Drosophila melanogaster: one gene and its partner. The protein of the gene in region 2 purifies or fractionates together with the protein of the main gene of each other region. This does not show direct contact. Each region holds a gene or a part of one and is shown on either strand. Other genes may lie near its edges.

What was found. Proteins that work in one complex are often made in the same cells at the same time.
Region 1: the proteins of Pp2B-14D (region 2) and sra purify together in Drosophila melanogaster (affinity purification with western blotting; 2 studies listed by BioGRID, with this or other methods). This does not show direct contact.

The regions. Positions count from the first base shown.
Region 1 is NT_033777.3:16,184,928-16,188,680, forward strand, and holds the start of sra (sarah), read left to right. Parts: upstream 1-2,071; 5' UTR 2,072-2,372; exon of another isoform or gene 2,373-3,753. Other genes in the region: CG8927 (uncharacterized protein), read left to right, coding at 31-899, 962-1,187; Bin1 (bicoid interacting protein 1), read right to left, coding at 1,325-1,711, 1,785-1,850. UniProt on the Drosophila melanogaster protein: Required for elongation of meiosis I spindle. Critical for ovulation, meiotic progression in oocytes and female courtship behavior, including their postmating changes. Regulates female meiosis by controlling calcineurin activity in the germline.
Region 2 is NC_004354.4:16,558,398-16,562,150, reverse strand, and holds the start of Pp2B-14D (protein phosphatase 2B at 14D), read left to right. Parts: upstream 1-2,134; 5' UTR 2,135-2,743; coding exon 2,744-3,753. UniProt on the Drosophila melanogaster protein: Calcium-dependent, calmodulin-stimulated protein phosphatase. This subunit may have a role in the calmodulin activation of calcineurin.

The DNA of each region.
Region 1 (3,753 bases), on a different chromosome or scaffold from region 2:
ATGACATACATTTTTCCCTTCCGATTCCAGCTCGTTTGCAGCGCGATCGCGTTGACAGAGGCCCAAAACTATCCCCCGCGTCTGAGCATTCCCGGAGCGGTAGCATCACCTGGTCAAGTGCCCCACCGACAGCCTGTGTTGAGAGTACGCCGTCCAGGAGCCTCATTGCGCCAGCAGAATACCATACTTCCAGCGGTGACGCAGCGCATCGCCATTGAGGAACCGCGTCCTGTGACGGAATCAGCGGAGGATGAGCAGCCGGAGCCATATCTGCCGAACCTTCTGCGGGAACAGCAGTTGGCTCAGGCCCAACAATCACAGTTCCAGCAGGCAGCAGCCGCCTTCCTGGCCGGCCAACAACCCGTTGAACAACCCTCGCCGGTGCAGCAGTTCCTTCAGTCCGATGACTCACAGCCGGCTGCCATCCTGCCTCCTCCTTCCTCGCGCTTCCCCGCTGAACGGCCATCTATTCCGACGCCCCTGAACCGTCCCGCCGCCTTCAATGATTTTGGCATTGGTCGGTTTGAGAACTCGCAGAGATTCGGATTGGAGCGACCTACGCCCACTGCAGCAGCGCCACCACCACCGCAACAACAGCCCCAGCGGGTGGCTGTGATCCGAACAAGACCAGCGTCTTCCGCTGCCCTACGACCTGAATCACCACCACCACAGCCTATGGCCAGGCCACGCCCTAAGCCTGTCCAGCCGCGTCCCATCATTGATCAAAATCAGCTACAGGACGATCACGTTGACCAGCAGCAGCAGCGTCGCCGTCAGCCCGTTTCCCAGACCATTCGCAAGTGGCGTGAGGAAAACGAGGACGGAAGCATCACATGGGGCTATGAGAACGACGACGGATCTTTCAAGGAGGAGCTGATCGGCACCGATTGCATCACCAAGTGAGTAAAACAGATTGAATCCAACCTCTTTCTCCCACTTACCCAAACTTCTCGTTCACCAGGGGAACCTATGGCTACGTTGATCCAGATGGCAACAAACGTGAGTACCACTATGAGACTGGAATCAAGTGCGATCCTAACAACCGCAACAACGAGGAAGAGCTACAAGAGAACGGGTTCGTCAACTACGAAGAGAATCGCGCCGTGCTGCCCAATGGTCTGGAGATCGACATGACGCAGTTGGGCAAGAAGAAGTCGAAGCGCCCGAACGGCTTTTACAGGAACTGATACTCCCCACAACATATAGTCCCTTAAGTCAAGCAGCTCGTAGTTCGTCTTACTTGTATTCCACTTATAATTATGTTCATACTCCATTGAGTGTCAAGTGAAAGATTAAAATGATTAGAATAGATGAAAGTGAAGAATCAGTACGGACGCTGGCGCCTGGCGGTTGGCGGCAGTCGGTTGGGCGGAGTAATCGAGATGTCCAGAAAGTCTCCAATGCTGAATTTGGCCTGAGCAAGTGTCTTATTATCATCGATTCCTTTTTGACCCGTGCAGGTCACTCCGATTTCGCGCATCTGGAAGTGATTACTCCGGAAGTTGGGGTACACGACAGCAAAGTCAAAGTAGGTGCCCTTCTTCCGGGTGTCCGGATTGACGTCTCGCACCAGAGAGGTCAGTTCGTGCAGGGTGGCGTCTTGCCAGGTGTAAATCTGAAGCTCGTTGGTGGGCACGTTGCCGAACATATACTCCGACACGGAGTGGTGTCGTCCCGTAGAGCAGAAGACACGGAGCAGCATAGGACAGGTCTGGAAAATACATAAACTTATTAACACATCTAGAGCAAACGCGAAGTAAACATGACCGGGGTCACAAACAAACCTTCTCGCGGTCAATCTGCTTGACCTGCGTCTTTTCCTCCACAATCATAGATTCCACGTTGGCCATGTCTCCCTATTCTGCGGTATATCGTTACTAATTTTCTTAATTTTAATACAAAATGCACTTTTAATGCCGTATATTCCGGCTTCTCTTTGCTCTTTTCGATAACTATATAATCGAATGCAGCAATCCTATCGCACATCGCCGAGTGTGACCGCTTGTCGCATACTTATCGGGTTTTAGTTTAATCGATGTTTCCAGAAGCACCAAAATTCGCCGTTTCTCAGCTCTAGTCCGAAAACAAAATTCGCTGTGAGCGGTTGTGTCGTCGAACGTGAAACTACGCGTCTCCGCGAATGACGCAGACTGGAAGCTTCCACTGGCATGACAATCGTCTAAAAACATTCAACAATAGCGGTGCACTTGCAAATTACTGTTGCCGCAACAACAATAACAACTGCTTCGCTAAGCAGTAGCTGCGACCACAACAACAAGGAGGAGAGCAACAACAACGGTGGAGAAGAGCCGTTTGTTATTGGCGCATAAAAGCAGAATCGCAATTTGGCCACTGAATAGTTTCTAAAAACGGTGAGTACATTGTGGCAGCGGTCCATTTGCATACCGAATTGAGATTTGCACTTTTTGCAAGAGTTTCTTATGTAACGGCAACAGCAGCAGCAGCAGCAGCTGAGTTTTACGTGCAAATTGTTGCCGTTGCTTTGCTTGTGTTGGTGCCGCAGCGTCTGCGAAAAGTCACCCTCTTTGCAACCACCCTTCACCCCCCCTCATATTTCATTTATGCATCGCTCTCTCGCTCGATTTGTTTATAAACATTCAGGAATAAGCCGCTGCTAAATACTGAACTGTTTTTATCTCAAGAAGTACAAGGTTATCCCATCCCCAGCCACCCACTTTCGATCTCCTCATTTTTATGCATGCGCCATCATTTGCCGATAATAGTGCCATTCTGTTTGTTGTTCTAAATGTTCTAGTTATTGCAGTAGCGTGGAAGGTGTGGTCATATGGTGGTTTCTATTGTGTCAACAAGGAATCAGTTTCCCAAAAGCTGCATATTTGTTTTTATTTTTAGTCAAATACCAAGAAATAAGTCAATCCAGACATTTGATATTTTTAGAAACGGAATAAACCCCGTTTAAGTGCACAGAAACAGAATCTGTGATTACCCTGGTAAAAGAAAAACACTAGAAGGGGAAAATACCCCACTTGAATTAACCCCCTGCTAAAGGGTATTTTCGCTTCGGCGTGTCTGAATATTTTTAGTTGGCTCGTGTTTTAAAGTCCTCGAATCCACTCCCACCTCGTTGATCCTGCAGCAGCTGTTTTTGCCACAGTTCCTGCTGCTCTTGCGTGGGAGCAGAATGTTTGTTGTTCCTGCTGTTGTTATTGAATCCCCCCTCCCCCCCCTTCGTCCTTGGCCATTGTTCTGTGGACTCGTTTTGGCCGGAGCGGAGGGGTTGCAGCCGTGACCGTGACTGACTGCCCGTAACCCCAGCAACGACCACATAGTGGACGATGTTATTGTTATCGCATACTTTGGTAACCAGTGCACTGTGGTCGGGATGACCAATATGAAGTAAGACGCATTAAAGCTGTTTCTTTAGTCACTTTAAAAAATGAAAAATTTATAAAGATAATACTCAGCAATACTTCTGCGACAAATTCACATTCGTAAATTATTCAAATTTGACAAAACAACGGAATGTTTAAAAACTTTATAGTCTTTTTAAGTTAGAATAAGTCTTAAGTTCTAGAAAGACCCCACGAAGTTGAAGAAAATGTACTTTAAGTGAAGTAAGTCTTCAGTGGCTTCAGTGGAATCGTATGTACTCGAATCGGAAGGTGGGTAAAGATGTGAACAATAAAGTAATATGTTTTTCGAAATTAAATTCCGCCCACTGTCCGTGTTCGTTGCTGCGGCTGCTGGCTGAATTTTAAACGTGCCAAGTCC
Region 2 (3,753 bases):
ACCGTTTTTGTAAAATCCCTTGAGTTTTGAAACCATTTCGAAAGCTGCCTCTTAGTATGATATGAAAAACAAAACAATTTTGATTTGAAAAGTCTTTCATAGCACGCGTCTAGGCAGTTTTTTAAGTGGTTTCAAAACCCAGAGAATGATATTTAAAGATAGCCAAGACGTGATAAAAAAATACCCATAAAAACTATACTCAAATTTCAGCCGAAAGTTAAAATTAGAATGGCCGATTACAATCAATTCCACACTCAGTTCGATATCGAATAAATCGCATATTGAACATAAATGTTTTTAGAGTTTTTTTTTTTAAATTTCCGTTAGACTGTTAGTTTATCGATTAGCTTGAACTACTATGTACAATCAAATATTTAAGTCGCTTTAAGTAAGCCATTTTGTTAACCAATTGTTTTTTTTTTTTATAATCGTATATACACTTATTAAATTTAACGAGAATAAAGAGAAAATGGGAAGATTTCTTGTTTTTCGTTTCCACTCATCTCATCCATTGCAATGCGAATGAAAACCTTTTCATCATATGTATGTATGTATGTAATTATATACGTTACCTTAATTTTTTTGATACATGTATTTTTCAACATCTACTTCCTGCCCTCGAATGCTTTAAAAACTTTACACGAAAAAGAAAACAATTTAATATATATTATAAACAAAAAAGAAATGGACAAAGAAAAGCAAAAACAAAAAAAAAACAAGAAAAACCAAGTGAAGAAAAAACCAAAAAACAATTAAAACTTTACCTTTTGGATAAATCAATTTAAATGCATATTTTATATATATTTAAACATTTATTTATATATAACATGTATGATAAATATAAGTTGGAAAAACTTTGTCAAAGCAAAAAGTTTATATACTTATATTAAAGAAAAACAAAAAACAAATGGATGGAAGATGGGAAAGGAAAACCAAAAACCAAATAAATAATATTAAAAATGCAACATAACAAATTAACAAACAAGAAAACATCACATCTAGATAAATCTCTTAAAAATTTTCAATTTTATTATTAAACCGAAACCAAAGTTAATGGATAAACAAATTTATAAACTGTATTGCAAGGGGCAGCTGGCTGGCAAAAATTACATAAAATTTGCGCCGTTGTGACAAAAATTGTACGCAATCCAAGGAAGATAACAAATTAATTTACAAGATAAAGATGATGATAATGGAGATGTAGACGATGGAGAATAAATGAAGGCAACAACAAAATGCAGACAACAAGTTTTAACCTTAAGTGAATGCAAAACAAAATGAAGAAACCCAATGAAAACAAAATGATTATCAATGTTATTAACATAATTAATATTAACAAAAACGAAAAAAAAAGAACAAGCAAAAAAAAAAAACAAAAACAACCAAAAAAGAAATACAAAAACATTAAAAAAAATATACAAGTACCTATCCTGAGAATAAAATGCGCGCACATTTATTATTTCCTCTAAAAGTTCGTTTGAGTCGATTTCGCCACCGGGGAATTTCAGAATAAGCATATACATATTTAATCCCGGGAAGCATATCCACCAGTAGAAGGCTGGAGAAGTGGTGGACTGAGTGAGTAATGTCCAGAATTTGCTCGAAAATTAAGGAAGAGGTAAGTGTAAGTGGGGCGAAACCGACAGGTGGCCAAGAATTTCAATAATGAGGTTTTTACCTATATTGATAAATTCAGCATCTGGGCTCTCATATTCTCTAATTTTAATTCATTTTATAATGTTTAGTTAACTACGTTTAAAGAATAATTAAGATGAACGGCTTAATTGATAGCTTAAGCTTTTTTAAAATAAAATGTTTTCCAGTTGACATTTTGAATATGTACCAAGTCCAATTGGATATAATTATCAAAGTTTAGCACCTTGTGGTACATTGCTGTGCGGAATTTGTTCAGATTTTAATTTTGCGCCACCATCTACATCTTTAAAGTGAATATATTGTTAGAAAGGAGATAAAAGTAAGCGTATTCATTTAGAATATTAAATATACAGAGAAAGATATAATTTTGCACGTACCTTACTCGACTACTTCCATGACTTCCATTCCAGGTGCGAGTCTCGACTAGAGTACACATTCCAGCGGCCGTGTAGTAAGTTTGAGCTTTTGAGCCACGGCCACACTGCAGAAAATTCCATTAAAAAAAGCGAGAAAAAAAACGTAGCGAAAGAGAGAAATTACGACGTCTGCAGGGCCGAAGCGAAAAAAGTAGCAAATACTGAAACAGAGTGACTATGATTGTTGTTAAGTGAAAGCAGCACTTTTGGAAAACGGCTAGGCCAGCGGCGCAGGCCACGGAAGAAAGCAGCGGAGTCAGCGTTCCAAAATCAAAGCAAAGCCAGCGGAAAGTAAAGGAAAGCGAATCAAAGCTGGAAGGCGATAAAGCGGCTCACCAGGCACTCCAACAACAACAGCAACAATAGCAACAACAGTAGGAGCAGCAGCAACAACCACACAGCAGCAGCAGCAGCAGCCAGGGAAAGTACCAGAGTGTGAGTGAGTGAGTGAGCGAGTGTGCGTGTGCGTGTGTGTGGGTAGTGGAAACAGAACTGAGCCGTGAGAGAGCGAGAGCGGGAGAGCGAGAGCGGGAGAGCGAGCTAGTGGAAGTGGGAGCGGGAGAGGAGCAGTCCGATTCCGAATCCCGGAATAGAAACCAGGAAAAAGGAAACGGGAAGCAGTAGCCGTAGAAGCAGAGCCAAAAACCGAAACAGAAACAGAAGTCTCAACCATGTCTTCGAATAACCAGAGCAGCAGCGTTGCCCAGGCGGCAACAAGTGCCCGCACCGTCAGTGCCGGATCGGCGGAAGCCACAGATGCCAATAGTACCGCCTCGAACAACAACAATAATAGCAGCAGTACCGCTGCAGCGGGCAACAACAGCGACAACAGCAGTCCCACCACTGGAACGGGCACAGGAGCGAGCACTGGAAAGCTGCACGGCGGCCACACGGCAGTAAACACCAAGGAACGGGTGGTGGACAGCGTTCCCTTCCCGCCCAGCCACAAGCTGACCTTGGCGGAGGTGTTCGACCAACGCACCGGCAAGCCCAACCATGAGCTGCTCAAGCAGCACTTCATTCTTGAGGGCAGAATCGAGGAGGCGCCCGCCCTGAAAATCATCCAGGACGGAGCCGCCCTGCTGCGTCAGGAGAAGACGATGATCGATATTGAGGCGCCGGTGACGGTGTGCGGTGATATCCACGGCCAGTTCTACGACCTGATGAAGCTGTTCGAAGTGGGCGGCTCGCCCGCGAGCACCAAGTATCTGTTCCTGGGCGACTACGTCGATCGGGGCTACTTCAGCATCGAGTGCGTCCTGTATTTGTGGTCGCTAAAGATCACCTATCCGCAGACGCTGTTCCTGCTGCGCGGCAACCACGAGTGCCGGCACTTAACCGAGTACTTCACCTTCAAGCAGGAGTGCAAGATCAAGTACTCGGAGCGCGTGTACGACGCCTGCATGGACGCATTCGACTGCCTGCCGCTGGCGGCGCTAATGAACCAGCAGTTCCTCTGCGTGCACGGCGGTCTGTCGCCGGAGATACACGAGCTGGAGGACATCCGGCGGCTCGACCGCTTCAAGGAGCCGCCCGCCTTTGGCCCCATGTGCGACCTGCTGTGGTCCGATCCCCTGGAGGACTTTGGCAACGAGAAGAACTCGGACTTCTACACGCACAACTCCGTGCGCGGATGCTCGTACTTCTACAGCTACGCCGCCTGCTGCGACTTCCTGCAGAA